7 linked regions of the Macaca fascicularis genome follow. The protein of the gene in region 4 interacts with the protein of the main gene of each other region in a pairwise test. Links are inferred from orthologs where the notes say so. Each region holds a gene or a part of one and is shown on either strand. Other genes may lie near its edges. The genes, in order: RAB3IL1, GLUL, EVI5L, NUDT18, DUT, APIP and HSD17B14.

Region 1 (4,120 bases), on a different chromosome or scaffold from region 4:
GGTGTTTGTCATGTGCAGGGCTAACCATGTGTCTGAGGGCTCTAGTGTCTGCAGAGGAAAAAAGTAACCCACAGGGGAGGGCTTCCTAGAGGAGGGGGTATGAACAAAAGAGAAACTTACCAGCAGAGGCAGGATGCAGTGGAGATTGCAGACAGGTGGGATAGTATGTGGAAAGAAGAGGAATGGGCACATCTGGGCAGTGGCAACTGGCCTGGTGTGCTTTGGAGGGTGAGAATCCATTTCATAGTTGGAGAAACTGAGGCACAACGAGGCTAACGTGCTCAAAGGCACACCGTCTGAAAGTGGGGTTGAATCCAGCCTGTCTGACCCTGGGCCTGTGCTCCCAGCTGCTACCACTGAGTTGTTCCTGGGTGGTGGTGGTGAAAAGTTTTAAGGGTAGCGAGACCCCGTCTCTCCAAACAAAAAAAAAAAATTAAAAATTAGCCAAGCATGGTGACACATGCCTGGAGTCCCAGCTGCTCAGGAGGCTGAGGTGGGAGGATGGCTTGAGCCGGGGAGTTTGAGGCTGCCTTCCAGCCTGGGTGACAGAGTGAGACCCTGCCTTGAAAAATTAAAAAAAAAAAAAAAAAAAAGACAAAACTAGGAATCTCAAATTTAAGAAAAAGAATTAAAAAATAATAATAATAACAGTTTTTTGTTTGTTTGTTTGTTTTGTTTTTTGAGATGGAGTTTCGCTCTTGTTGCCTAGGCTGGAATGCAATAGCACAATCTCGGCTCACCGCAACCTCCGCCTCCCAGGTTCAAGCAATTCTCCTGCCTCAGGCTCCCGAGTAGCTGGGATGACAGGCATGCGCCACCATGCCTGGCTAATTTTGTATTTTTAGTAGAGACGGGGTTTCACCATGTTGGTCAGGCTGGTCTTGAACTGCTGACTTCAGGTGATCTGCCCGCCTCGGCCTCCCAAAGTGCTGGGATTACAGGCGTGAGTCTCCGTGCCCGGCCAATAACAAAGTTTTAAGTGGATATTCAGGCTTGTGGTCACAGTCGGGAGGGCCTGTCAGGGCTCCACAGCCAGCTTACGACAGCTATGACAGGGTCAAGGCTGGACAGGCAGTTTCCAACGCCCCAGCCTGTGTGGCGAGGGGACAAGTAGACCATCTGGGAGCCTGGCTGAAACACGGGGCCTCCTCTTGAGGTGTCTCATCTCCCCTGGCCCAGAGCCCAGGAAGGAGGGCCCAGTGTCTTCTGCTGCCTGAGGAGCCACAGGAGTTAATAATTACGGGGTTGAAGGAGATAGCGGCTGTCCTGGGAGGTGGTGCCTCCCTCCCAGGCTGCTGCTCTGAGGAGATAGCAAAGGTTAGTGTGAGGCCCAGCCTAGTGGGGGGAAGAAGGCTCCTGCTACCTCCCTTCCCAGCACCCTCCAGAGGGACCCTCAGTCTGGCCTTCCAAGCATGGACTCTTCTGAGGAGCACGCCAGGTGCCCCGCCCGAGGGACATGCCCCGTGTTCCTGGCCATGAGTGCAGGGACTGTCCGCTACGCCCCATTAGGCCTGTGCCCTGCACTTGAGGGGAGCTTGAGAGAAGAGCCCTGGGGCACAGAAAGGTGAGCTCAGGACCTGCGGCATGGAGGGGAGGGGGAATCTTGGCGAGCTTCAGGGCAGCCGGTGTGAGAAGCTGGGCTCAGAGAGTCCTAGGGAATGGCTCTGACTGTCTTGTCCAATTTGGTGGCTGTAGAGAGGTGGAGACTGAAGCTCAGATAGGGCAAGACACTCGTCCTGGGTCACACAGTGAGCTGAGGTCAGACTTGTAAGTCCAGAATCAGGGCCTGGGTCATCCAGGCTGACTGTCTCCTACTCCTCAGCTGCCTTCAGCCAAGGGTCTGTGGTCAAGGCTGTCAGGCTTGGGATGTAGCAGGCAGAGGGGGATAGAGGGAGGGAGGGTCAGGAGGGCAGTGGCTTGTGGGCAGAGGACACAACTTTTTTTTTTTTTGAGATGGAGTTTCGCTCTTGTTGCCCAGGCTGGAGTGCAATGGTGCGATCTCGGCTTACAGCAACCTCTGCCTCCCGGGTTCAAGCGATTCTCCTGCCTCAGCCTCCTGAGCAGCTGGGATTACAGGCATGCACCACCACGCCCAGCTAATTTTGTATTTTTTAATAGAGACAGGGTTTCTTCATGTTGGTTAGGCTGGTCTCAAACTCCCGACCTCAGGTGATCCGCCTGTCCTGGCCTCCCAAAGTGCTGGGATTACAGACGTGAGCCACCGCGCCTGGCCCAGACACAACTTTTATTTCTCCCTTCCCTGCCACTGGCCAGGAACCTATAGCCTGTGCTCGGGAACCTCTTGCTGCCTGGCTGCACACAGCTGCAGCTGCCAGTGAGCTTCTAGTTTCTGGATGGTCTTTTTGGAAAACTGGTGTAAGAGGACTCAGCCCCACTGCCCCTGGCTGTGTGATATCTGGCAAGTTCCTTAACTTCTCTGAGCCCATCCTTTTTGGCTGAGGAGCAAGTTCAGCTGAGCAGTAGGGTCCTCCCTACTGGGGGAGGCAGTGAGGCCTAGGAGTCCATGGTAGCAGGAAGCATGGATGACAGGCTATTTTTGGTTAGAAATTGAGTGTCGATGCTTTCTGAGTGGTGACCACACACTTGTCCTTCGAGACCTCGCTCAAGGGCCTCCCCAGTCCACCAGCTGTCCCAGGCTGAGGACTCTTCCTCCAGGGACATAGCCCTGAGCTGACGCCTCCTCCACCCACTTTATCTCCCACTGGTCTGGGTTGCCATGACTTACCTCCTCCCGGTGCTTGTGAAGACTTGAGGGCAAGGGCCCTGTGCTGGGTTCCTTTTGTGTCATTTTCTCCTCCTTCTCTAAATAGTGAACAAAACAAGGGCCAGGAAGACAACAGTTGCTCAAGACCTACTGATGAGGGATTCAAGCCAGCAAACACATGTGGACATCTGCTTTGGGTGGGCCAGACCCTGAGCTGGGCTGGGGGCGGGGTGAGGGAACACAGCTCCAAGAAAGAGAGAATCCCTGCCCTCTGGAAGCCATGGCCATGGAAACAACTGCCCTGCTGCGTGATGGCTATGGGACGCCTGGGCTGAATGATTCTAGAAAGTTGGAAGGGATGCTAGGGAGAACTGCCAAGGTTGTTCACTGCACAAAATGCTGGCCAAGGGAGCAAGCAAGGCATAGAATCCAGCCTCGCCTCCACTCTCCAGATTCCCTACCTTGTTGTGCACTATGCCCAGTGGGGAAAGAGCACTGTTGTCTATTTGTACTCTGGACATGGAGGTCTTAGAGAATACCTCCCTCATCCTCCATCCTCCATCATGGAGCCCCAGGAGGGCAGAGCCTATGTCTGCACAGTTTCCTTCTGGGTCACCAGCCCTTGCATGGCCCATAGACTATGCTCAGATGGAGTGGCTGAATGTATGAATGAGTTGAATGAATGAATAAAATGTGTCCTCAAATGAAGATCTGACTAGCTTGAGCCTGGGGCCTGAGTCAGTGGGCCTGGAGGGGTTCAGCACTAGGACCTCTGGTAGCACCTAGAAGGGCAAGTACCTCCCCCCAAGCTCCCAGTCCTCCCCCAGACAGGGAAGGTGGGAGCCATGGTTCCTGGTGGGAGAGAAGAGGGGTTCTGCTCTTACTGGTCCAGTCCCAGGCTGAAGTTGAGAACAATGATCAGGACTCAGAATGGGTGGGACAGAGGAACTGAGGGACAGGTAGACCAGTGGTCTGGGATTCAGGGAAAGGTTTCACGGAGGATGAGGAACCAGACAGGTGTGCGTATGTGTGTGTGTTGGTGGGGGTGGGGTGGGGAATACTATCCAGAGGGCAGATGGTGGGTAAAGGCAGGGATGGGCACAGTGTGTTAAGAGGCAGGAGGCTGGGTGAGGAGAGTTGGACCAGAAGTGGAAACTCCTTCGGGGTAAAACTCAGAGAGTAGGACTCAGAAAACTTGTTTCGGGTTTGTCCCCTCCCCTTCCCAGCAGGCAGGATATTGCACAGGGACAGGCACTAAGCAGATAGACTAGGGAAGGAGTGCCGGTGAGGATGGGGGAGGGTGTCTGCTGGCCTTAAGTGACAATCTGTGTGAGAATCCAAGAGCTGAGAGCCCGGGAGCCATTGTAGGTTCTTGAGCAGGGGTGGCCCAAAGTG
Region 2 (3,959 bases), on a different chromosome or scaffold from region 4:
GATCACCACCTTTTGAAGCAATTAACACAGATGCCTGCTAAAGAAAAGATCAGGCCCTTGGTAGTAACTCAATGCCTCTTGCATCTCGGAGCTCAAAGGCTTAAGTTCCACAGCTACTGCAGATCCCAGGCTTCCAAGTTGGAACTTACACTTGTGAGGACTGTCTATTCCTTCAGTGTAGCTGAGGTAACACTAAACTATCCAAATACTAATCTATCAGAGGAAACAAACCAAACCAATACACAAATTTACAAAACATAGAACTTCTTCCAATACAAGTAAAATCCAGCCACAGAACAGGCTTGGCTTCCAAGGTTTCTGTTTTTCTCTTTGCCTTTCATCCTAGCTGTGGTCTTAACTGAAACCCACAGCCACTCCCCACCAAAAGAAAACCCACTACACATTTAGATTTGAGGATGAAACAAGGTTACAATATTTTTTTTTTTTAAAGGCTAGCAGTTTCCTACAACAAAAGCTGATTCAAACCAGATTCTAAGGGGCATGCTGCCATACTTTCCATAGGTCTCATGCAAAGTTTCACTTAAGATAGTGAGCAAGAATCACAACATTATGGAATTCCACAAGAAGACTTCAAGTAATTAGGAAATTTCCACTTCGAAATCAAAAAGATCTGGAATTTTAAAAGCCATGAGGCATACTAATAACTGCCAACCACTACCACAAAACCTCTGAAAGAACAGAAATTCTGAAGCCACAACAGCCGAAGAGGAAACGTTCCTCCCTCCGTGGCCCAGGATGGCTAGAAAGGGAACACATTGTTCTCCTCCAACGACTAGGGCAACGTTCTGAAGTACAGTGGCAAAGTTTCTATGGGCAACCGTCCATGTTTGCCCAGCTGAAAACATAACTGCTTCTCCCTCTGACAGCCTCACCACCCTTCCCCTTGGGGAAGACCAACACCCCAATATTGCCTCTAGAAGATTCAGTCGGCCAAATCCTACTTCCCACCTCCGTCCCAGAACCCTTCAGCTCCCGCTAAAAACTACAACCCACCTAGGCGGGCGGATCACCTGAGGTAAGGAGTTCGAGACCAGTCTGGCCAACATGGTGAAACCCAGTCTCTCTTAAAAATACAAAAATTAGCCGGGCCTGGTGGTGCCCGCCTGTAATCCCAGCTACTCGGGAAGCTGACACAGGAGAATCGCCTGAACCCTAGAGGTAGAGGTTGCAGTAAGCCGGGAGCTTGCACCACTGCACTCCAGCCTGGGCGACAGATCGAGACTCTGTCGGTGGGGGAAAAAAAAAGAAAAAAAAGCTACAACCCAATTTCTCAGCTGTCCTCTCCAACCTGTTACACCACCAATATCATGCACACTTTGTCCTAAGCCTGTTTCGGATCTCCTGCTCTTTTCCGTGAGCCAGTTGGATGCCAGCACTCTATCAACTGCTGCTGCCGTGGCGCCAAGTTTATGTGGGGGGAATGGATTCTGAAGCTTTTAGCCGTTTCTGCAGCTCTCACCAACTCCGGGGTCGTCCTCCCTGCCCCCTCACTCACCCCAGCCACAGAAAGTCAAGCGTATTGTTAGGGTTGCCCTCCTTAGCCCTTCTCTTTTTGGAGTGGCGTTCGCGCCTCTCCTCTTTCTCAGACTCGAGCTGGTCCAAGCACCGGAGCTTTCTGGGCGAGGGCGATGTCGAAGGGGACACACAGCGGTCGGCCCGGGGGGTGTCGAAACAGGCCGGTTGGTGGGTTAAGGTCTTAATCTTGACTCGAGATTTCTCCCCGGAGTTCACGGAGTAGGCGACGAAGCCGAAACAGTTGGAGGGCGACCCGGAGGAGTCTGACTTCTCGTCGTCTTCATAATTTTCATTGGTTGCTTTCTTCGTGAACTTGCGGCTGGGGGAGGATCCCCGCTTCCCGCCCCCGAGGGAGTTGTAATTATCCACTTTGAGAGCAGACCCTTCCCACTGAAATGTCCCTAAAGCGGGCGCCCCGCCCCTCGGGCCCCCGTCTGAATCTCAGGGCCTCACGGAGGTGGCCATACCCCACAGCCGAGGGGTTGCGGGGTCCCCGGGGAGGGTGGGGGCGCAGGCCGGAGGGACCGCGCGCTGCTGCTGCCTCCGCCCGGCCCAGCTTCTCCACCGACTGCGCCGAGGCCCGGGCTCTCCATTGTTCGGTCACACTGGAAGGCCCCCGGGACCCCGAGGCGGGAGCCGGCCGCGCAAACAACGCTCACTGTTACACGCCGCAATCGAGGCGTCTCAACGATCGCCAGAACCACGACGACTGCCCCACCACGAGGAAAGCAGCGAGGCGCCCGCGCCAACCAAGCGCCTTGTTTGCGGTCTGCAGGGGACCGCACCGCCACTCCATCCACAGCGCAAATACCACTGTGAGCCCCAGGGCGCGGGCCAGCCCAAAGGCCTCCAGGGGCGGCGCTTGGGCCGCAAGTAGTGAAAAGAAGATCAAAACAACTCACCCCGCCCTTCCCAGAGCCTGGCCAACGACGCGCCCCACCAGCGCCAGCCCCGGAGGGTCCAAGCCATCGGCGGCGGAAGCACGCGGGAGGAGGACTGGAGCCGGACCTCAGGCCCGGGCCAGAGAGGCCGCAGCGTAGGGCTGGGACTGGAGGGGCAGGCGGCCGAAAAAAGAGGCTGGGTGGCGCGCCTCGCGGGGTAGCAGGGGCGGTGCGTGTCGCTTGGGTGCCACCGGGCCGTCCGGGGGCTTACCTGGGCGCCGAGCAAGCGGGCGGGTAAAGGCAGGCCGCGAGAGCGAGGTTAGGAGGAGAGGAGGCCGTAGTGCTGCTCACACGTTTCGCTCTTCTCCCACTCTCGACTCTGCAAGGCCGGTCGCGGCCCCGCACCCTTTATCCGCGGCCGGGGGCCGCCCCCGGTGCCCTGATTGGCTCCCAGCGGCCGGGAGCCCGGGCCGATCAGCTGATGCATTCCCCGGCCCCGCGGCCATTGGGCGAGGAGCCCGGCGGGCGCCGCTGGGGTGGGGGCAAGCGAGCTGGGAAAGAAAGAAAGAGAAAGGGGCGTGGGGGAGGGGCAGGGCGGCGTGGGGGAGGGGAGCGGAGCCGGGAGGGCGGAGGGCGGAGGGCGGAGGGGCGAGCTGCTGCCAGGCCGGGAAGCCTTCGCTCGCCGCCCGCCCGCCCGCTCGCTGGCCCGCCAGGTGCCGCCCGACGGCCCCCAGCCCGGGGCCCCGAGGCTCCCAGCAAAGCGCCCTGGACCTCTGCCCTGCAGTCTTTACGGGCAATAGTTTTACGAGGAGAGCTCCCTGGGGAAATGCGGAACCAGGGAAACCGAATTTAGCCTTTTGTTGCGAGGGAGCCTCCGAACCCCGCTTCCCGCGGGCAGGGGTTAGCTTGAGAGGGAGCGCGGGCCGCGGGACCCGGGGGAACCTTGGGCGGGCCTGGGCTAGCGTGGGTGCCGCTTGGGCCTGGGGACGGGTCCGGGTTCCCAAAGCCTGGAAGAGCCGCCCGCTCCGGCTCTGTTGGCTCTGGGGAAATAAACAGAACTCTGCCATTTCACATTTGAAATCAACGTGCTGTGTCTCTAATTTCACAGAGGATTCTGGAGAGCGGTAGAAACTAAGTCTGGAGACCTGTGTCATACCGCTGGCCAGACCCTAGGCAGGTCTCTCAGGGCCCAAGTTTCCTCATCTGCAAAATAAAGTGGTCATCGAAAACGATCTGTGGAGCCGCCCACTAGATTTGAAATTCTGTGTGCAGACTGCCCCCTGAGCAGCCGAAAGGAAATCGAGGTGTTCACTTGCCCCTTTCGAAGTCCAGGAATTGTCAAGAAATGTCTTAAACGAATTCTCCCTGGTTTTGCTTTATCAAGTGCGGCTTCTTGTTAATCTGGAAAATGGGAATACATACCTCTCCTCTCAGCTTGCCGTGATGGTTGGGAAAATGTGTATGTGAACACAATCTTGAAATGGATGTTTGTCAGCAGATGCACAATAATTATATGTGTACCTAGAGACACAACATAGGTAG
Region 3 (3,978 bases), on a different chromosome or scaffold from region 4:
AATTCCCCCCTGGGGAGGCTGTATAGAGTTTAGTTTCCTGTGCGTGAGAGATACCACGTGACCTTCAAGAGTCTTTTCCTCCACGCCTTCCTTCAACAAGCGGACAGAACAAACGTCTTCCTACCCGGCGTCAGAGGTCTACGTGGGGCCTCAGCATGGCTATCCGACAGCCCCTCATGCCCACCCCGTTCCCCGTGGTCCTCCTGGGAAGACCCTGTGTATAACCACAAATCCCGCAACAGACCGTCTCTCGTCTTCATTCTACCAGCTCTGATTCGAGCTGGCTCCCTGCAATACAGTTCAGCCTTAGGAAGATGGCCACTATCCAGCGAGGTGTCAACGAAGACCCCAGCAGGGACCTGGGTGGCCAGTGATTCACAGGAGCCCACAGGACTCCCCTCTGAGACCTTATTGTCCCCTTCCACATAGCACTCAGGGAACACACAGGGCCACACCCTAGCCTCCCTGCAGTTCCAAGTTCTGTTCTAAAAATTGAGCCGCTCTCCCGGCACCCCAGTTTCCGGATGGGGAAGTTGAGGCACTGAGCCGCATGAGCTCTTTCTCGGGGTGGTCCATAATCCGCTAGTGAATATCCACAAGGAAGCTTGGGCTTTTTATCTAAGGGTTTCCAAGCACGGTTATATTGTCAGAAGGACCCCAGACGCACGGTGCCCAGGCTGCGTGAGGCTGGACTGGCCCGGCTCCTCCTCGCCCCCTGCAGTCCTGGCCACGGTGTCGCGCCAGCGTCTCCTCTCCTGTCTCGTCTCATCCCTGTGCCGGGGCCAAGCCACCTGCGATCCCTTCCAAACCACCTGCCGCTGACCACAGAAACCCAGGGGAACCTACAGGTTGGACCCTGAGGCCAGAGATGGGAGTGGGGAGGGCAGTGGGACGGAGGGGAAGAGCCACATAAGATAGAAAGACACAGGGACACGGGTCCTCTAGCTCAATCACAGCCCGGCTGAGGGGGAATAAAACGAAGCAGACAACTCATTCGTGTTCCACCCCAGCCTCTTCAGCACACTTTTCCCTTCTGAAAAGCTTCCTTAACAAAGAGCTGCCTGCTTCTGGCAGGCCCCAACCCGGGTCTCAAATACTGGGATAGAAAGAAGCCGTTCTGTTTTGGCCAAACACAGTGGTTGTGGGTGAGAGAACTCACTCGGGCTGTCAGGGGCCAGCTCTGAGGAGCAACCTGGACTGCACTGCTGGCTCTGCCATTTGAGGCCAGGAGGCGTGATGGGGTCAGGAGACTGGGGGCAGACTTCAGGACCAAAGCCAGGAGCTGTTGGAATCCCTTCCTTCCCGCCAGGGGGTGGCATAAATCAGGGGGCGGGCAGTGGTTCCTGTGGGACACTAGTGTAGGAGAGAAAGTGAGCGCCCTTCCTTTTGAAAGGGCACAGCAGGGAAGGATGGATAACTTGGCAGAGGCCTGGGACAGGTTCCCACAGGGGCAGGTGCTGGGGGATTCTGGGGCCGTCACCCTCCAGGGCCCCAGTATGGGCGCTGGCTTGGTTGGTGGGGGGGCAGATTGGCTTCCCAGGGTGCGGCAGGCACCTCTTGGTCTCTGGAGTCTCTGCTTGAGCTGGGGGAGCTGTCGGGGGCTCTGGGAGGGCCTGGACAGGTGGGATCTGAGGGGGAGTGCAGAAGTGTTGAGTGGGTGGGGACAGGGGCAGACAGGCCGGGGGTCTGTCTTGGAGCTCTTAAGTTTTTCTGTGTGTGCTGGGGGATCTAAGTGACCCACTGTGTGCGTGTGTGTGTGAGTGCGCGCGTGTGTGTATTTGGGGTTTTCAGAAAGATGGGTGGCTCTGGATGGGGAGTGGGGTGGTTCAGAATATCCATCGGGAGGTCTTGAGCACGGGCGGATTTTTCAGGAAGCCAGGATCCAGATGGGGCAGGATCAGTGGAGCTACCAGAGTGTGCTGGGTGGACGCCCGGGAGTGATTTAGGGGTGCCCTTGGGCATGGGGCAGCTGGGGTGGGAGATGGGCTTGCAGGCTGAGCTGAGGGCTGTGGGCAGGGGTAGGAAATCCGATTTACAGAAGCCAGAGAGGGGTCCTGTGGGGTCAGTATGGGAGGCGGGTAGGGCCCTGAGGCTGGTCTCCCTGGGAAGAGGTGGGGGCAGTTCTGGGCCCAAGATAGGAGGACGTGAAGTGAGGGGGTGCGGGGAGGGGGTGGCAAGTGTTGTCCAGAAGGGAGGGGTCCTGAGAGATCAGGGCAGAAGGTGGACTGGGGTTCTTGGGCTTGGGGGGGCTTGTGCGGGGCTGATCGGCGGAGTGGGGGGATGGGGAGCCCTGAGGGGGTTCCCGGAAAGGAGTCCTGAGGGTCACTGCAAAGGGTGGACGGGGGTCCTGGGCCTGCGGGGTCCTCACGGGGAGGGGACGGAGTGGGGGAGGGGGATCACGCAGGAGCTCCCGGGGAGGGGTCCGGAGGGATCGGCAACGAGGGTGGGCAGGGTCCAGGGTCCCCCAAGGGTCCCGGGCTGGGGATGCCGAGGCTCCCAGCGCGGGTTTCGGGGCACGACGGCCCAAGTCGCGGTCCTGCCGGTTCCCCGGGGGCCGCATCGCGGAGCCGCCGGTCTGAGCAGGCGCCGGGGAGGCCCGGCCCGCGCCGCCCTACCTGCGCCGAGCGCGCCGCCATCGCCGTGCCGAGCCTCGCCGCCCCGGGCTGCGCCGCCGGATCCCAGCCGCGCCGTTCGCCCCGCAGCCCCGGCCCGGCCCCCTCAGCCGCCCCCCGGGACCGCGGCCGCCGCCGGCTCCGCCGCTGCCATTTCACCCGCTGACAGGAGCCGCTGCCCCGCCCCCGAGGCCCCATCCGCCAATTCGCCGCCCCTAGGCGCTCTGGCTCCGCCCACCAGCCAGGAGTGACGGGGCGTCTGACCAATCTGTGACCACTCCGTGAGGCGGGCCCTGGCTACGTTCAGAAGGTTGCCGCCTCTGAGGAGAGAGCGAATTGAAATGAGGGAAGCGATGAAGGACAGGGAGCTTTACGTATCGGAATGAGAAATCCTGTTGATCAACACCTGATGAGACCAATAGCAAGGAAAGAGGGGTGTGTCTCTGAGGAAAGGCTGCGGCCCTCAGGAACATCAGGCAGACGCGGCCAAGCGTTTGGCGCTAAGCCCCGCCCAGAGCCGGGGTTTCTGCCCAATAACGAGACGTCCCAAGACGTCCATTATTATCTGGCCCCCAAACCTGGGCCCTGGCAACTGTTGGGGGCGCTATAAAGATTGACACCTAGGGAACCAATATTACTGAAGGAGGGCGGGAAAGTGACACTCTCTGACCAATGGGTATGTGAGATTGGTGGGCGTCCTGGGCGGTGGGACTTGAGGCCTGGGTTGAATGAAATGGGGGTGGGGCTAAGAGAAGGGCGTGGCCTAGGCCAGAGATGGGGCGGGGTCACGCAAGGGAGGGGCTCGGGGGTTGGGTCTGAGAAGGGGCGTGGCCAGAAATCCTGACTACTAAGAGGGACGTGAAGGCACCGTATCCTCAAGGAGCCCAGTTCTGTGCTGGGGAGGGGGTGGTTGGGATTGGGGGGTCCCATAAAAGATTCAGGCCCGCCCCCTGTCTTACTCTAGGCTAGGTTAAGTGTCTTCTCTGAAGCTCACAGCGCCGCGTGTTCCTCCATCAAAGCTCGGATAGCGCAGTGATCATGGGGAGGGATAGGCCCTCCCATCCCCCATCCTCCCAGACTGATAGATCCTCGGGCAGTCGGGATGCGGGGCCTAGGTCGGGTATCTTCCGGGTCCCCAGCGTAGGAACTCCTTATAAACGTTTGATGAATGAATAAATGAATGGGCTCGTGATTCTTTTAACAGAGAAGGGAGGGGTGGAGAATCCCTCAAGCTAGAGAGGAATACGTAGGGACAGTTACTGACAGCGGGAAAGACTGAGCAAAATGGACTTATTTCCTCCCCAAAATGCAGGGATGGGCCCTGGAGGGGGTGGGGCAGGGAAGGACCTTGTCACAGCAGAGAGGG
Region 4 (4,014 bases):
TCCTCTGGGGCCACCCGCTGCCCAACCCTTGGAGGACTCAGAGCTGTGTTTCATTAGGGATGGGTCCCCTCCGAGTCACATCCCGGGCCAGCAGGCCAGCTGGAAGGAGCCCCGGGGGCCATGCTGGACAGCAGACTGGCCCACACTGTCAGTGCACTGGGAAAGGCATGGGCAGCTGTGGGTAACACGATGGGAACAGCAGCTCTTGGACAGCAGTCCCCAACACTTGCTCCCCACAGAAACGTTTAGGCAGGGAGGCAAGGTAAGTAACACCTCTTTACTCAGCAAGGGGCTCCTCCCTCAGGACACCTTCCCCAGTGCCCCTCCAGGCTCCAAGAGCCTGGAAGGATCAGGATGCAGGCCTTTCCCAAGGAGGGCACAGAGCATGAGGAGGAGATGCCACTGGTGGTACAGAAAGCTCCCCATCCCCCTGGGGAGAGGTGTCAGTGTGCCCTCAGGGTTGTGAGGTCCTGAGCTTTGGACTCCTTGCTTGGTTAAAGGCACTGTCCCTTGTGCAATGTAGAGGAATGCTCCTCAAAGCATCTCTCCCGGGAACCAGGAGAGCCGCCCCTGCTCCCAATGCAACAAGATCCCTGATCGCCAGCTTCTTGCCTCCCTCAGAGAGAGACATGTCTGCACTGGAGGGAGCATGGCTGCCTAGCTCCTTGTCACCTCCTCCACCTCCCTATCTGTTCACTGGGACAACAGAGGATCCCTGAAGCCGCTTGAGGAGCTGGCTTTGCAGGTCTTCCTCAGTCACCTTCCACCAAAAGAAGTTCTCACCCCGAATCTTTGGGGGTTCATCCTGGATCCCTGGGCTCCGAAAAGCCACAGTCACCAGCACATTCAGACAGATACCATCACTGTGATCTCGGCCCAGGTGCTGCAGTCCAAGCAACCCCTTGATCTCCACCACCAAGTGGTGCAGGGTCAGACACTCCTGCAGCAGCCGCAGGATGGCCATCTTCATGCCACCCCTCTGCTCCACAGGGTCGAGGCCACAGGCAGTGACAGGCAAGTGAGGCATCCCCACTGTGCCCACCAGCACCCACACTGTCTGGGTGCTGGTAAAGGTGACCACAAGCCGCTGGCAGACCAGATCACAGGGTAGCTCTTGCGGCAGAATGAGAGGGTGCCTGGCTTGCTGGCGATACTGGGCAGCTAGCTCAACCAGGTGCAGGATGTCATGGGCTCGCAGCGGAGTGGGCAGGGAGCTCCGTGGGTACCAGGCAGCCTGCAGGGACTCTGCATCGGCCTCCTTGGAAGTCTTGAGAATTCCACCTGGGGGAAATGTGGGGGATGGGGCAGGGACAGGCTGTGTGGAGAGGAGTGCAGGTGTGGCAGTCACCAGACATCCCTGACCCAGAAGAGAGGCCCCCAGCCCAAAGGCTGGAATCTGCCCATGCCAGGCTGTGCCAGTCATAACAGGACTGGCTGTGGAGGGGCTCACTTCACCGAGGAGCTGGGGGAAAGGTGTCAACTGGCCCTGTTCACACTGCCTCCAGGTGGGCCATACCTGTGGGGTGAGCGAGGAACACGAAGCGGACCCAGGAGGGGCCCCGCTCCTCCACGGACAGCAGTGTCTCGGGCTCACAGTGCAGCCCCGCCTCCTCCTTCACCTCCCGCTGCAGCGCCTCCACGATGGTCTCCCCCGGCTCCATTCTCCCCGCAGGCAGGTACCACGACCCCCGGCACTCCCTCTTGGCCTCCTGGATCAGTAGCACCTCATCCTGAGGGGACAGAGGATCCTCACTTCCTGCCACAGCCTTCCCTCCCCGGGGACCAGGGGACACCTCAAACACAGTCGCCCGAGACTCCCCTCTGGGTGGACACCCTCAATCCGGCTAGCGCTCCAGTAGACCTGCCCTCGTGTAGCTGGGGGCTGCAGCCCTCTCCTCCCTGCAATTCGTCCCTCTCTGGATTTAGGAAGACTTCCATTTCAGGAAGGGCTGAGATTCGTGGAAGCTGCTTCAGGGGCTGGAGATGAGGCCCCAGAGTGAGGGTCACCATGTGTCTTGCACTGATTTGCGTCTGTACATGTCACTGTGTATCTCTCGCCTCCAACGGCGTGGTTTACAAACTGTGATGGGTCCTCACACTGGGATCTGGCTTTGAAACACGACCCCCCACCTCCACTCTGTACAACCCTGCCCTATGGCCCTGGCCCCTTCTAGTTGTCATTACATCGCCTACTACAGGGATCAGCACCAAAGGCCTAAGGGTAAACACGGATTGAGCCACTGCTACCCGGGGGACCCTGGGCATTCCGCTAGACTCTGGGGAAGGGAAGGAATGAGCCCTAGTGGGATGAGACAAACAGGTCCCGGGCCTCAGTTTCCTCTAATGCATATCGGGACGAACGCAGGACACAGATGCGAGTGGGAGTGGGAGTGCTTTGCAAAACTGGGGAGCGCCACGCACGCGGCAGCGCTGGCTGTGGCCGTTGGGTCTTCTGTCCCCACCTGGGCTGGCTGCGCGCTCCCGAGGCCCGGCGGGCCCGGCGGGCGGCCGCTCACCTGCTCGCTGAGGAACACGGCCAGCACCACGTAGCACACGTTCTTCCGCAGCCGCACGGGCACCGGCGGCTCCCCGGCCGGCGCCGAGTCGCAGCTCTGCACGCTCGGCCCCTGGCCCGCCAGCACGGCAGCCAGCGCTCCCGTCAGGCCCTCCGAGGCCATCGGGTCCCCCGGGGGGCGGCGGCCTGAGTACTCGCAGACTGGCTGAGCCGAGCCGCGGGCGAGCGTGGGCTCCTGCGCCCTCTCCCAGTCCCTGCGGCAGCAGGCCGGTCCCGCACGAGAACGCGGAAGCGCACGCGAACGCGGAAGCGCACGCGAGCCCTGGCCGCTGATAGGCTGCGCGGCGCCGCAGCCTGCCCGGATTGGCCGGCCCGCGGCAGTCTCCGAAGGGGCGGGGCCACCCGGGGCCGCCGGGCAACTGGGTGGGCGCCGGGCCAGCTCTGGAGGACCCCGCCCGGGTTCTGCCGCCTGTCAGTCCCGCGCGCTCAGGACGTCTCCCAGCCGCCCCCGACTCGCCTACTCCCCGAGCGCGCACTGGTCTGCGGGAGCTCCGACCGTGACGTCATCCTTCCTGCAGGGCGCGTTGCGCCGCAGGGGTAGGCGACTATGACGCGACAAGCCCGGTGACGTTACGGAGGCCCGGGGCCGCCCCTTGGACCCACTGCCCCGCTGTTGCCGTGAACACACGATGGCATTGCCGGAGTTGATCATCTCCCAAGTAACTTTCTTCTCACTCCATTCAAGAGTAATAAATGTCACGTGGCCTGTGGGGAGGGGGACATAAACCCCTGCCTTTAAGGAGATTCTGTTGTAGTTGGAGAGAGAGACGGAGTCCTAGATGAGGAGTCAGCTGAGGGTTCGAGACTAAGTGCTAAATGCTTGGTTTGGGCAGGAAGAGTGACAGGCGCTGGGAGGATGGAAGGGAAGGGCTGGGGATGGCGGGAAGAGTCGGGGGCTGAGAGAGGGCTGCCGTCAGCCGGCCCGTCCTCATCAGTGTCCCTCTGCCCACCGCATTTCCCACGCAGCTCAAGGCCCTCTCCGCTGCAGATGGTGCGCCCGGGGAGGGCGGGGGTGGGGCCCTGCTCCTCCATCCTTGTCGTCACCCTCCCACCTAGCGTGCAGGACCTGGCGCGTGGAGAGCAGGGTGGGGGTTGTTGTGGCGAGAGCCTGCTCCTCTCCCAGCTCTGCCTTTCCTCCTTCACCCGCCCCTCAGAACTGGAAGGCAAGGCCAGCTGGAAGGGATCTGCGAAGCAGGCCGTCTGGCTTCTCACCCGGCAGAGGCCACCCCTTTCTTCTCCCTCGGCTGGTTTTGTGTGCCTCCCTGCTTGATGGTGTGGACAAAGCTCAGGACCTGGAGCCAGATGGCCAGCCGCTGCTGGCTGGCTTGCTCTGTGCTCCTGGGTGAGCTGTGAGCCTCAATTTTCTTATTTGTAGAGTAGGGTCATAACAATTATTGTTTTACAGGGGTGTTGGGAAGGCACGACAATCGGAGAGGAGC
Region 5 (4,186 bases), on a different chromosome or scaffold from region 4:
TTATGAAGAAGGTAGAGGTAGTTATTTTATTATTAAAATGACAGCTTTAGATAAAATAATTCTCCGTGAATATTTTTGGTGGTGTGAAGAGATGTCAACATTGTAAATCTTTGCCCCTGAACAAAAGTTTATTGGGAAACTGAGGTACTTATTAGCATGAAAGGGCAGAAAGGCAAACTTTCAAAAGGTGGATGCTTTACTACCATAGTTTGAAAAGGAAAAAAATGAAGAACAAAGAAAAAAGGCCAAATATTACTAATAATACTAGCTATCACTGATTAAGCCTTTACTATGTGCCAGGCACAGTTCTAACTGGTTTACATATATTAACTCATTTTATTCTCACAATCATTTATGTGATTAGGGAATATCTGCAGAAGGAAAGGAGAAAATGGGTGGACAAAATAAGAGGGATAAAGAACTGTGTTGTATCTGTCAGGCGGGGCTTGGTGGTTTGCCAAGCTTAGGTGATGAATTTCCTGGCTGAGGGAGAGAGGTGATCACTGTGAACAGTCCCTGGAGATGGACCTTGTTTAGGAACAGAATTCCTCTAAGATCCACGTAGCAAATGCTGCTACTCTTGCTATTACTGTGGCCCTCTGCTGGGTGGAAATTTAAGAGATTTTACAATGAGCAGAACCAGAAGTTTACTTTGGAGAACTGCATTAAGTCTGGTAAAGCAGTACTATACTTCCCCTTTTTTCGCTGAAATCCCTCTTTAAATAGTTATGGCCTAATTTATTACAGATACATTATTTCCATGTCTATTTCAGTATACAGAAAGTCACCTGAATTTATTATGAGGCTACTTAAGGTATCTTAAATCAAGGACTCCCCTAGGACTCAAAAAAGTGCTCCAAAATATACTTCGGAAAGGTCTAGTCAAACTACATCACTCTTTTATTCATTAAAATTAAGAGACCGTAGTTTTTCCAGCTGCAATTGTCCATACCTACTTTCCTTTTCCTTTCTTTTCTGTTGCTATCATCATGCACTACTTTCTCTTCTCCTGTGCTTAGACCAATAGTTCTCATGTTTGAATTACCTGAGAAACTTTAAAATAAATCCCAATGCTTGGGATTTAGTATAAACTCTCCTTCCCTCTCAGCATTACTTTTCTCCTACCTTAATGGCTCTAAGAACTGGGCACAGTAGTCAAAAGAAAAAAAAAAAAGCCCAAAATTCGGGATAAAAAATGGTATCATCTTCAAGTCTCTGGGGAAATCAATTCAGCTCTTCACAAACTCCCGCCTGCGTAAAAAGTAACACTTATCTAGTCAAGGATTGTTGTGAGGACTAAATACAACAGCATAAGGAAAGTTTTTAGTACAGGTAAAACGTGCTGTAGAGATGAAGTGTGGTAGTATTACAGGCAGCTCTGCCTTTCGTATTCGGATGCCTTCTGAAATTCCGCCCTGGGGCCAGATGAATGTATAGAAAATAACTTTTTAAGGCAGATGCATCTCTGTTCATCCTTCTTAGGTGTTTTCACGCTCACATCTAGGCTCTCACCTTGGCTTTTCCATTGAGCACAGCATCACCCTCAGGCCACTCGAAAGCCACCATGTGCCTTCCTCTCTATCTTCTATTTAGGAAGGGCACAATAAACGTTGCAAAGTAACGCCTTGCTAGACGCCGTATAGTTATTTTACTTATTCTGCAGTCTTTGCCCAAATCTCTATTTAATTTATGCCAAAGATGAAAGCTAAAATTTTCAGTATGAAAAAGGCAGAAATCCTATTTATAGCTAGTGTGTTCCTGTGATCTCTTCGATGACTGTTTCTAGCTGTGGCAGCGGATGGCCGGCCCTTCCCAGCCTCCTCGCCGGGAGGTCCCCGCTCACCTGTACAGGTCGTAGCCCGCGGCCCGCGCGGAGCCCCGGGTGGGGGCCGTGGCGTGATCGGAGAGCCGGGCAAAGCGGAGCTGCATGCCGCCCTCCTCTGCAGGCCGGGGCCGCTTACTGGGTGAAATGGCGGGTGTCTCTTCAGAGCAGGGCATAGCAAAGCCAGAGGGCGAGCGAGGAGAACACCCGAGGAACAAGAGAGCGCACGATGAGTTGCCCCGCACGGCACCCGCCAAAACCGAAATTTCCCGCCAGCTCCGCCCCACCCACCGCCCCCTCCGGGACGAGTCCACACTTCTGGCCGAGAGGGGAGGCGGGATTCACATTTTGGGTTAGAAGCCCTTCTCGGAAAGCAGGTTTGGGATCGGAAACTACTGGGTCCCAGTCATCCATCCACATTCAGCGCATAGGGCCGACGACAGCTTTTGGGGCGTCGCCCTCACACACTAGAAAGCCGCCCCCCCCGCCGGGGACCCTAATGGACTCCCCCCGCGCGCACAGGGGCCGCCCGCCGGCCTACTTCCCCCGCCGCCTCAAGCCGCGGGGCTTTCTTCCGGACGGCCGGGGCCCTTTGCCCGCCGCTCTCCTACCCTGCCCGGGCGCCGGGCATCCCCCCGGCTTAGGAAGCTCGCCCTTCCAGCCCGCGGCCCCGGCTGTACTGGCTCCGCGACAGCCTCGGCTCAGACTGCCAGCGCTGGACAGCGGCCAGGGCGTCCCGTGCTGCGCTGCGCGGCCGAGGGGCGGGCCTGGCCCGGAGAGTCCCGCGGCCTCGGCCCTCTGCCGTGCGCCTCGCGCGTTTTGCATCGCTGAGCGAAGCAGAGACGGAAGGAAATGGTAGCAGAGCGCGGGGCGAGGGCAGAGGAGAGTCATTTCCCCCAGAGTTTGGGCTGGTTGGCTTCTCGGCACCTCCGGACGTGCGCCAGGCTTCCACCCTGAAGACGCGCGCGTCCCGGGAACATGACCTCGGAAGCAGTCGCCGCCGTGCGAGGGGCGTGGAGAGGCGGCGCAGGCCCTAGGGCACCAGGAAGACGGTGCCCTTGGCGTCCTGAGTCTTGCTGCCGCCTCCGGGTGCCTACGCCTCTTGCCCTCGCTCTTCTTGTTTGCTCGGGCCCCCATTTTTCCGCGAGTTCACCAGGCCCGGGCCCTGCTCCTGGGCTGACTTACCTGCGGCGTCACCGCCAGCGGCCATGACTCCCGGGCTCTGAGTTCAGCGGCGCCCTAAGCGCCGGAACCGCATGTGGGTGCCGGTGACAGTTACTGCACCCGGTGCCGCTCCCCAGACTGGGCAAGACACCGCGCCCGATTTCCTTTCAGCACCGAGTGCCAGACGTTGTAGTTTATTCGACCGGAGGCAGGGAGGGCGGTAGTATTCTATCAGGTTTGGGATAACCCAACAGAAACGCAGCGGGAACGCCTTGGCTAGGAGTCGAACAAGGATCCCGGGCCGCAGTGGTATAGTTTACAGTGGGGGATAAAGCAGTCACTTTCTAGATAGTTGTTTTTCTTTTTCTGAGCTGCAAGTATCTCGTTATTTCTCACACATCTGAGAGCTGAATTGAATGGTTTTGAATTTTCAAAGTTAAGCTGTGGGACAGTTTTAGATAAATGACAAGTAGAAGTGTTATTAGAGTATTATTGGGGAAGTTTTACATTCATTGCTGTGCCTTTTCATACAGGCCCCACCTTTTCGGTCTCCTTAACTGGGTCCTCTTCGTTGTTGAAAGTACTTTGCATGAGGCTATGGAATATACACTACCTTCTCTGGACGTTAAATATTAGCTACACCTTGAGGACTCCCAGATTTATGCCTATAGCAACACGATCCGAGCCCTGCAACTTTTCGACCTCATTTTGAGCCAACATTATTTTACTCCCTTATTTTGCTGGAGTACTTTCTCCAGTTATTAAAGTGTTCACATGAGAGACATATTTGATTCCTTGCTCACAAATGACTGCCTTATTGGACTAAAGGCTCAAAGGGATCAGAATACTTAAGCCACAAACTCACAACTATAGTTCTGCCTAATACACTGAATACCCAATCTCTCTTAACAAGCATAATCACCATGAAAAGCATACTCTGAATTACGCCAGTGGCGTAGAAGCACCAGGAGACAAAAGTTCTGTAATTACAGTCCAGAGAAAGGCTTGTTATTTCATTTTAAAGCATCTTTGAGTTTTATGAAGTGAAGAAATAAAAACAGGCCGGACGTGGTGGCTCATGCCTGTAATCCCAGTATTTTGGGAGGCTGAGACTGGCAGATCACTTGAGGTTAGGAGTTTGAGACCAGCCTGGCCAACATGGTAAAACCCCGTCTCTACTAAAACTACAAAAATTACCCA
Region 6 (4,236 bases), on a different chromosome or scaffold from region 4:
GGAGTGAAGCTGCAGACCTTCACAGTGAGTGTTACAGCTCATAAAGGTAGTGCGGACCCAAAGAGTGAGGAGCAGCAATACTTATTGTGAAAAGCGAAAGAACAAAGCTTCCATGGCATGGAAGGTGACCCTAACCAGTTGCAGCAAGGCGAGCTTTTATTCCCTTATTTGGCCCCACCCACATCCTGCTGATTGGTCCATTTTACAGAGAGCTGATTGGTGCGTTTACAAACCTTTAGCTAGACGCAGAGTGCTGATTGTTGCATTTACAATCCTTTAGCTAGACAGAAAAGTTCTCCAAGTCCCCAGTCAACCCAGAAACCCAGCTGGCTTCACCTCTCAGTAGCTTTTCTCTTTAGCTTCATCTCTTCTCAAGTCTCTGGCCCCTACTTTATGTTCCAGAACACCAAACTTAATATGGGAACACACCATGTCCATAATCAGGGACAATCCTGAGATTGTGTACATGCTACTTCCCCTACGTGGAATATCTTTACTTTCATTGCATGTGGTTATGTCTTCCTGATCCTTTAGGCCTCAGTAGATACTTTCACTTTTTCCTGAGGTATTCTCTAACCCAGTCAAGTGTATACTCCTAAACTACCTTGAACTTTCCCATCTAAGTCATATTGTCATATGTCATACTATGTCATATTGTCATACCATCCTTGTCTCTTTGCTAATTTGTCTCTGCCACTATACAGCATGTTCTAGGGGAGAAGGAACCAGATGCAGCTTGCACTCTTAAATCCACAATGCCTGGCACATAGTAGGCACTCACTAAATATTTGTTGAACTAATCACTTACAGTTGAATGTTCCCCTTCCTTAAGGCCAAAGAGACTGTCTCTTTCAATTGCCCATGACCCGCTAAAACTACAATGAAATTTTATGACTTCTTAAAACTTTTCTTATTGCTGTTTTTATGTATTTGTACAAAACCAGACAGACACAAATATCTAGAGGGGCTCATGTATTTAACTGGATATTCAAATCCAGTGTGAGCAGTGGAAGCTGTGGTAACCTGGCCAGCACCCTCGGTAAAGGCGGTGTTCACTAGCAACCACAATCCAGATCCCAGGAAAAAATAAGGGCCCGATGTCACCATATGTTCTGAGGTTTTAAAAGAAGCTGAAATGCTTCTGGATTTTGAAATGTTGACTTGGCCGGGCATGGTGGCTTACACTTGTAATCCCAGCACTTTGGGCAGCTAAGGTGGGTGGATCACCTGAGGTAAGGAGTTGGACACCAGCCCGGCCAACATGGTGCAACCCCATCTCTACTAAAAATACAAAAATTAACTGGGCGTGGTGACATGCGCCTGTAATCCCAGCTACTTGGGAGGCTGAGGCAGAAGAATCGCTTGAACCCAGGAGGCAGAAGTTGCAGTGAGCCGAGATCATGCCATTGCACTCCAGCCTGGGCAACAAGAGCAAAACTCCGTGTCGAAAAAAAAGAAACGTTAGCTCAAATTTTTCATGAACATTGAGTTAGGCAAATGAAACATGCCTGTCCATCAAGCTGTCTGTGGGCCATGTTTGGTATGAGAATCCTAGTTTATTCTGGGGTCCCTTAAGGCTCTCTTTGATGCTCACATTACACTAAGATTTACTGATTGAGGGCATGAACACTTCTCCATACACACCTGCCTAGGAACGATCTCCAATTATCTGTCCTATCTCCAAGATCTTCTCTCTCCCATCCAACCTTGCCTATCCACCATTCTATTTTCAGAGTAGTCTTCGCTAATTTGGGGAAGTCACTTATTCAAACAAGACAGCGGTTGACAAATACTTAGCAATGAAATCTCCTGCTAGTTACTACTTTTTAATTAGGATTTTCAACCCTAAGAAAGATATACATGGGAGGAATAAGATAGGGGGAATAAGGGAGCTAATTTTGAGGGGTTTCCCTGCCTCTTAGGTGGGGTTTATCATATTGTGCTGAAACTGCTTATTCGTCTAGTTCTCCAGACCCTGGGCCATTTGTCTTATGTACCGCCATCTCTGAGCGCGGAGAAGGTGCTCCATAAAACTGTTGGTTTGTGTAAATGACCGAAAACTACATGCAGAGTGAGGGTGGATTTCCCTTTGACTTCGGCTTAAGGAAGAATCGTTCCCATGATCATCCCACAATTCATCTAAAGGGAGATAGGCAAGGAGCAACTGTTCAAAGGCAAAGCGCTGGCAGCCGAGGCACAGCTCCGGTTCGGCAAATGTCTCCCGAGTGCCAAAAGTCTCCCCAAACGCCTAACTGGTCAGGGCGCAGAAAAGAAGCTCGGGGAGCGCGGTCTTCGCCCCAGCTCCACTTCGGAGCTTCACGATTCCTTCTCTGGCCTGTCTTCCTGATAAATACCCGCTGAGGTCACCCAAACGCTATTCTCTCTGCGTTATTTGCTTCTTTCCAATGTTTGGCGCCCAGCTCCCGTCGTCGGAGCGCCCCGCCCGGGACCACTGATCGCCTGGGGCCGCAGCCTTGCTTCCCAACGCGAAGGCCGCGGTGCTCCAGGGTCGCAAACTGCCCGGCCCGAAGCCCCGCCCCGCAGCCAAACGCCCGGCCCGCGACCCCGCGCCCAGCTCCCGCCGCCAGGTTCCGTCTGGGCCTCTACTCCTGGGAATAACCGGTACCGGTGACCCCGCCCCTACCTGCGCGCCGCATCTCCGGGAACAACAGTCTCCCTCCCGAGCGTCACAGCCAGACATGGCCTAGACCAGGGACCCACGCGGCCTCCAATCTCCGCACCACTTTACTCGCGGCGCTCAGCCTAGGTTGAGGCAGCAAGGCCGCAAATGCAATCAGGCGGCGCTGAGGGCAGCCCGGGGGCGGGGCGAACAGGGTGGGCGGGGTCTGGTAAGGCCCCTCCGGCTGGGCTATCCAGCAGCGCACCTGACTGCCCGGGAGGCGTGGCCAACGTGGTTGGAGGCGGGACTAGGAGGGCTTCAAGTCTGAGAGACCTAAAGGCACCTCGATCGTCTGGGGGTGTGGCCAACCATGTGGGAGGCGGGGCCTTGATGCTGGACATCAGGCTGTGCTGCGGGCAGCCGGTGAGAAGGCCGTGAAGATGGCGGCCTCCTGGAGGCTAGGCTGTGATCCGCGGCTACTGCGTTATCTTGTGGGCTTCCCTGGCTGCCGAAGCATAGGACTGGTGAAGGGGGCTCTTGGGTGGTCTGTAAGCCGCGGAGCTAATTGGAGATGGTTTCACAGCACGCAGTGGCTTCGGGGTGAGTGGCCGGGGCTCGCTCAGCTTCTCTGTGTAGCTGAGTGATGGGCCTGGGACAGGGGCAGTCTTGATTGAGGACCTGCGTCTGGGTGTTGAGGTGCGCGGCCTCCCTATTCCTTTCCCTCTTTCTCTGGGTGGGGTCCGCCGACTCGGCCTAATGCATGCTGTGGAGGGCTTTCTTGGCAGCTGGGAGAATTAGACCCTACCCTAGGCCTCCTGGTTTGTATGACTTTGTGACTTTGCCTTGGAATTTGGGTTATTTGTGAGGCGCGGAGAGGGTTCCTAAACTCTCCTCCCTCAGCCCCCTTTCCAGTCAAGGCTCAGGTTTCTTTAGGGTTGTCAAACGTCTCGGACGAGAAAAAGCTGCCCAAGGTTGCCGAGATTGAAAAGCCACTGTTGGGAGTTCTTACTCATTCTCTAGGCCTCTCTGTTGGGAGGTGTTTTCATTGAGGCCAGTCGAGTTTTACCCCACGCCATGACTCGTGGAAGACTTAAATTTGTAAATTCCTACGGCATCACAGACAAAGGTCCAGGAGAATGTTTCAAGCAAATATTCGCTTGAAAGAGCGAACATTTAGGAGATAAATCATACCAAAAAGTTTATTATAGAAAATTGTCGTTTAGTAATGATATTGATACGGTTAACACAATTCTTGCAGTATTTAACAGTATGCAAAATGGCAGGCTGGGTATTATTTTTCCTTATTTGGGGAGAGGGTTGGAGGGAAGCAGGGATGGAGAATAGGACTGACGTTTTTTAATCTGACGTATTGCCTGCCAGTCATCGTTCCTGGCACTCTACAGAATGAATTTTAATTTAAATAGGTCTAATAGACATTGCCTTCGTATTCTGAGCTACCTGAGGCCCAGGAAAAAAAAAAATCACACAAAGCCATATAGTAAGATGAGTGTATTGGGGTTCCTAAAGATTCCGTAATGGGAACAATTTATTTCAGTTTTTTTGGTGTAATGTTTCATAACATATTCCTTGGAGCAGAGGTGCTTTAACAGTGTGTG
Region 7 (4,251 bases), on a different chromosome or scaffold from region 4:
CTGGTCAGAGCCACACTGCACCCAGGGTTAGGGGGTGGGGCATGGGGGTGACAAGGATTCAGAGAGAGTATAGGGGACAGTTACTAAAGGGGGGCAGATAACAGAGAGATACTGATTAAAAGGAAGAAAGAGGAACCCAGAAATAATGGAGAAAAAAATCAGTTACAGGCCACGTGCAGTGACTCACACCTGTAATCCCAACATTTTGGGAGGCTGAGGTGGGTGGATCACGCGAGGTCAGGAGTTCGAGACCAGCCTGGCCAACATAGTGAAACCCCGTTTCTACTAAAAATACAAAAATTAGCCGGGTGCGGTGGCTCATGCTTGTAATCCCAGCACTTTGGGAGGCCAAGGCAGGCGGATCACCTGAGGTCGGGAGTTCAACACCACCCTGACCAACACAGAAAAACACCATCTCAACTAAAAATACAAAATTAGCCAGGTGTGGTGGAGCATGCCTGTAATCCCAGCTACTCAGGAGGCTGAGAGAGGAGAAACACTTGAACCCGGGAGGCGGAGGTTGCGGTGAGCCGAGATCGCATCATTGCACTCCAGCCTGGGCAACAAGAGCAAAACTCCGTCTCAAAAAAAAAAAAAAAAAAAAAAAATTAGCTGGGCATGGTGGCACACGCCTGTAATCCCAGCTACTCAGGAGGCTGAGGTAGGAGAGTGGCTTGAACCTGGGAGGCAGAGGTTGCAGTGAACCAACATCACGCCACTGCACTCCAGCCTCAGTGACAGTGACACCTCCAAAAAAGAGACAGAAAAATCAGTTACAGTTGACCCACTTTGAGGGACTTATTCCTTTCCACCCACGTGTCAGATGTGCTAAGAGCCTTGGAGAGGTGGGAGAGAAGGAACATGTGACCTGCTCGTCAGTCACAGAAGATCTTGTGTGTGGAGTGACACTGGTTGGAAACCTTTGACGGGTCCAGTGGAGCCAGGAGAGGAAGGAAAAGTAGAGGGAAAGGCACATGCAAATGGCTGGAGGAGAACAAAGAACTGGTCATTAGCGGAGATGGGGGTAGGAATGGGAACTCGGCTCACCTTCATATCATCTTCCTGAGTCACATCACAGAGGATAAAGACAGTTCCAGGGAGCTCCTGCTCCAGGGCCCGGCCCCCAGACTCTGCAGGCAGAAAAGAGCTGGGAGCCTGGAGCCCTGGGCCTGAGGGAGGAGGGTCTGGGGGCCTGCAGATTCCTGGGTCTGAGGGAGGAGGGGCTGGGGGCCTGGACTCCTGGGTCTGAGAGAGCAGGGGCTGGGGGCCTGGACTCCTGGGTCTGAGAGAGCAGGGGCTGGGGGCCTGGACTCCTGGGTCTGAGGGAGGAGGGGCTGGGGGCCTGGACTCCTGGGTCTGAGGGAGGAGGGACAGGGATCTGGACTCCTGGGTCCAAGGTAGGAGGGGCTGGGGCCCTGGATTCCTAGGTCCAAGGGAGGAGGTGCTGGGGCCTGGACTCCTGGGTCTGAGGGAGGAGGTGCTGGGGGCCTGGACTGCTAGGTCTGAGGGAGGAGGGGCTGGGGGCCTGGACTCCTGGGTCTGAGGGAGGAGGAGGGGTCTGGACTCCTGGGTCTGAGGGAGGAGGGGCCGGGGGTCTGGACTCCTGGGTCTGAGGGAGGAGGGACAGGGGTCTGGACTCCTGGGTCTGAGGGAGGAGGGGCCGGGGGTCTGGACTCCTGGGTCTGAGGGAGGAGGGCCTGGTGTCCTGGACTCCTGGGTCTGAGGGAGGAGGGGCTGGGGATCTGGACTCCTGGGTCTGAGGGGGGAGGGACAGGGGTCTGGACTCCTGGGTCTGAGGGAGGAGGGGCTGGGGCTCCTGGACTCCTAGGTCTGAGGGAGGAGGGGCTGGGGGTCTGGACTCCTGGGTCTGAGGGAGGAGGGGCTGGGGGTCTGGACTCCTGGGTCTGAGGGAGGAGGGCTGGGGGTCTGGACTCCTGAGTCTGAGGGAGGAGGGGCTGGGACTCCTGGACCCCTGGACTGAGGGAGGAGGGGCTGGGGCTCCTGGACCCCTGGACTGAGGGAGGAAGGACCAGGGTGAGGGCTGAGGGCTGAGGGACCCTCACTCACCATCCTTGTCGCAGATAACCACTTGGGCCCCGCTGTCCACTGAGAATAGGAAGGCAACACGTTACCCTCCGAGTCTTGGTTAAAGCCTCTGCCGCCCTCTTGTGGCCACCTGGATTGGGGCCGATCTCCGTCTCCCCTCGTGACCCCAGTCTCATGATCACCCACAGGACAGAGGGCAGAGGCCTTGACACATACTCTCCTTGCCTGCCCAGGTTTCTGCTGAGGCTCCTGATCCCCCGTTCGTGGGTTCCAGAGCAAACTCCACAACTGACAGGGCCATTCCCCAAACCACTGGTTTTGCAGCTATACCAACAGACCCAGAGAAAGGGGCCACTGCCTTCGGAGACCCTGCCAGACAGCCCTAGCCTACCGCGCCACACGCTTACTTTAGCCTGCAAATTGGCTTTTATAAGATCAGAATCCCGGCTGCAGTATTGGAGACCCTATTTTCCGCCCCCATCGCCCCGCCCCCATCCTTCCTCTCTCACGCTCCACAGCTCCCAGCAGTCAGACCCGGCTCACCGAAGGCGCGCACGATCCCAGCTCCGATGCCGCGCCCGCCCCCGGTCACAACCACCACCTTCCCGGCATAGCGCGTTCCCGTAGCCATCCGTGTCCACCGGTCTCTCTCTCTCTCTCTCTCTCTGTGTCTCTACTCTGGGCCTTTTTCACCTCCAAAGCCACGTGAGGCCGTCGCATCAAATCCTCAATAGAAGCTGGATCGTGGAAGTCCAGCCTCGGGGGGCGTTGCCAGGAAGGCTAGGGACCTGGAAGTTTGTCCCCAGCCCCTCCTCCCTCAGACACTCCTCTCCTCCCACAGACACAGGAATCCAGGAGCCCCAGTCCCTCCTCCCTCAGACCCAGGAGTCCAGCCTCCCAGCCCCTCCTCCCTCAGACCCAGGAGTCAGGGTCCCAACCCCTCCTCCCTCAGACCCGGGAATCCTGACCCAGGCCCCTCCACTCTCAGACTGAGGGATCAGATTCTCTATCCCTTCCTCCCAGAGACCTGTAAGTCCAAGCACCCTGTCCCTTCCTCTCTCAGGACCCAGGAGTGCACGACTCCGGCTCTGCCCCTCAGAGACCCCAGTGCAACAACCCCAAACAGACAGAAACAAAGCTATTGACTAAAAGTTCAAAGTTTTAATCCAAATTTAGACAGTGTTGAGAAAATCAAACTTTGGCCATAGAAACCATTTCCCTCCCGGACGGGCGATGGGGACCAGACCACGCCCCTGATGCCCTGAGTGGTCCCAGATCTCCGGCGGTACCTCCAGACCACGTGCTCACGCTCCGATTGGCTGCCACGTTTGGGCGGGTTAGAAGCTGGACTGTAGCAGAGTGACTCGCAGAGGCCACGCCCCCTCGTCTTGGGGCAGGACCGGAGGGGCGATCCCGGCATCCCACGTGGGCCCCCAGGGGGCGGGACTTCCTCCACGCCCACTCCCTCGGCGAGAGAACCCTGTGGAACCCGAATTAGCCACCGGGGAAGATCTTGGGGGAGGGGTCTCCTGGCGCGTGGGGTCCGAAGGAGGCAGCGGCACACGGGGAAGAGGGTCTCCCCGGGAGTCCAAATTTCCACCTAGAGAGGATGAGTGGGAGACATAAGAATGGCAAACTTCAGCAGCAGGACTCCGGGTTCCCAGGCCCCTCCTCCCTCAGACCCAAGAGTCCAGGCCCCCAGCCCCTCCTCCCTCAGACCCAGGAGTCTGGACACCCCAGTCCAGACCTCTTTCAGACTCAGATGTCGGTCCTCTCCCCGCCCCCTGACCTCTTCCTCCCCTCCTCCCAAGTGTCCCGGAACCCAGTCCACTCTTGCCTGAGACCTAAAACTCCCAAACTCTGCCCAACTCTTTCCTCGCCAACATAAAAAATTCCCACCGGCCCCTAGACCCCTCCTCTCCAGGACCTGGGATTCCAGGTCTCCAGCTTTCTCCTCCCTAAAACCCAGAAGTTCAACATCCCCAGCCAGTCACCTGTCATCATTCTGTGCCACTGCGACGCCTCAGTAGCCAGGGCTTGGGAGAGGCTGAGAACCCGCTCCCGGTGACCTTCGGAAGTCGGCAAGTAAGGGGTGGTGTTCCTTGGACTAGAAAAAAAAAAGAAGATTGGGGGTGGGGTGTGTACATGGGGGAGAGGTGGGGAGGGTTAATTGGTACAAAAAGAAAAGGATGAATAAGACCTACT

Evidence for each region.
Region 1: the proteins of NUDT18 (region 4) and RAB3IL1 interact in binary tests that used the Homo sapiens proteins (3 or more experiments, as listed by UniProt). The two-hybrid records come from large-scale screens. The link is inferred for Macaca fascicularis from reciprocal best matches to the Homo sapiens genes NUDT18 and RAB3IL1.
Region 2: the proteins of NUDT18 (region 4) and GLUL interact in a two-hybrid assay, tested with the Homo sapiens proteins (2 studies listed by BioGRID and IntAct). The two-hybrid records come from large-scale screens. The link is inferred for Macaca fascicularis from reciprocal best matches to the Homo sapiens genes NUDT18 and GLUL.
Region 3: the proteins of NUDT18 (region 4) and EVI5L interact in binary tests that used the Homo sapiens proteins (3 or more experiments, as listed by UniProt). The two-hybrid records come from large-scale screens. The link is inferred for Macaca fascicularis from reciprocal best matches to the Homo sapiens genes NUDT18 and EVI5L.
Region 5: the proteins of NUDT18 (region 4) and DUT interact in binary tests that used the Homo sapiens proteins (3 or more experiments, as listed by UniProt). The two-hybrid records come from large-scale screens. The link is inferred for Macaca fascicularis from reciprocal best matches to the Homo sapiens genes NUDT18 and DUT.
Region 6: the proteins of NUDT18 (region 4) and APIP interact in binary tests that used the Homo sapiens proteins (3 or more experiments, as listed by UniProt). The two-hybrid records come from large-scale screens. The link is inferred for Macaca fascicularis from reciprocal best matches to the Homo sapiens genes NUDT18 and APIP.
Region 7: the proteins of NUDT18 (region 4) and HSD17B14 interact in binary tests that used the Homo sapiens proteins (3 or more experiments, as listed by UniProt). The two-hybrid records come from large-scale screens. The link is inferred for Macaca fascicularis from reciprocal best matches to the Homo sapiens genes NUDT18 and HSD17B14.

What each region holds. Positions count from the first base shown.
Region 1 is NC_088388.1:12,063,295-12,067,414, forward strand, and holds the start of RAB3IL1 (guanine nucleotide exchange factor for Rab-3A), read left to right. Parts: upstream 1-1,320; 5' UTR 1,321-1,412; coding exon 1,413-1,564; intron 1,565-4,120. UniProt on the Homo sapiens protein: Guanine nucleotide exchange factor (GEF) which may activate RAB3A, a GTPase that regulates synaptic vesicle exocytosis. Promotes the exchange of GDP to GTP, converting inactive GDP-bound Rab proteins into their active GTP-bound form.
Region 2 is NC_088375.1:39,913,451-39,917,409, forward strand, and holds the start of GLUL (glutamine synthetase), read right to left. Parts: upstream 2,801-3,959; 5' UTR 2,689-2,800; exon of another isoform or gene 1,517-2,688; intron 1-1,516. UniProt on the Homo sapiens protein: Glutamine synthetase that catalyzes the ATP-dependent conversion of glutamate and ammonia to glutamine.
Region 3 is NC_088393.1:8,545,259-8,549,236, reverse strand, and holds the start of EVI5L (EVI5-like protein), read right to left. Parts: upstream 2,801-3,978; 5' UTR 2,616-2,800; intron 1-2,615. UniProt on the Homo sapiens protein: Functions as a GTPase-activating protein (GAP) with a broad specificity.
Region 4 is NC_088382.1:25,179,324-25,183,337, forward strand, and holds NUDT18 (8-oxo-dGDP phosphatase NUDT18), read right to left. Parts: upstream 2,801-4,014; 5' UTR 2,679-2,800; coding exon 2,517-2,678; intron 1,731-2,516; coding exon 1,517-1,730; intron 1,282-1,516; coding exon 686-1,281; 3' UTR 264-685; downstream 1-263. UniProt on the Homo sapiens protein: Mediates the hydrolysis of oxidized nucleoside diphosphate derivatives. Hydrolyzes 8-oxo-7,8-dihydroguanine (8-oxo-Gua)-containing deoxyribo- and ribonucleoside diphosphates to the monophosphates. Hydrolyzes 8-oxo-dGDP and 8-oxo-GDP with the same efficiencies.
Region 5 is NC_088381.1:24,836,657-24,840,842, reverse strand, and holds the start of DUT (deoxyuridine 5'-triphosphate nucleotidohydrolase, mitochondrial), read right to left. Parts: upstream 2,801-4,186; 5' UTR 2,714-2,800; coding exon 2,434-2,713; exon of another isoform or gene 2,364-2,433; intron 2,031-2,363; exon of another isoform or gene 1,999-2,030; coding exon of another isoform or gene 1,983-1,998; coding exon 1,844-1,982; intron 1-1,843. UniProt on the Homo sapiens protein: Catalyzes the cleavage of 2'-deoxyuridine 5'-triphosphate (dUTP) into 2'-deoxyuridine 5'-monophosphate (dUMP) and inorganic pyrophosphate and through its action efficiently prevents uracil misincorporation into DNA and at the same time provides dUMP, the substrate for de novo thymidylate biosynthesis.
Region 6 is NC_088388.1:30,656,806-30,661,041, reverse strand, and holds the start of APIP (methylthioribulose-1-phosphate dehydratase), read right to left. Parts: upstream 2,801-4,236; 5' UTR 2,702-2,800; coding exon of another isoform or gene 2,658-2,701; coding exon 2,645-2,657; intron 1-2,644. Other genes in the region: PDHX (pyruvate dehydrogenase protein X component, mitochondrial), read left to right, coding at 3,061-3,220. UniProt on the Homo sapiens protein: Catalyzes the dehydration of methylthioribulose-1-phosphate (MTRu-1-P) into 2,3-diketo-5-methylthiopentyl-1-phosphate (DK-MTP-1-P).
Region 7 is NC_088393.1:56,819,704-56,823,954, forward strand, and holds the start of HSD17B14 (L-fucose dehydrogenase), read right to left. Parts: upstream 2,801-4,251; 5' UTR 2,678-2,800; coding exon 2,590-2,677; intron 2,107-2,589; coding exon 2,068-2,106; intron 1,131-2,067; coding exon 1,048-1,130; intron 1-1,047. Other genes in the region: PLEKHA4 (pleckstrin homology domain-containing family A member 4), read right to left, coding at 3,384-3,646, 4,041-4,153. UniProt on the Homo sapiens protein: Catalyzes the NAD(+)-dependent oxidation of L-fucose, yielding L-fucono-1,5-lactone, which rapidly converts spontaneously to L-fucone-1,4-lactone. Can also act on D-arabinose and L-galactose, with lower catalytic efficiency. Does not use NADPH.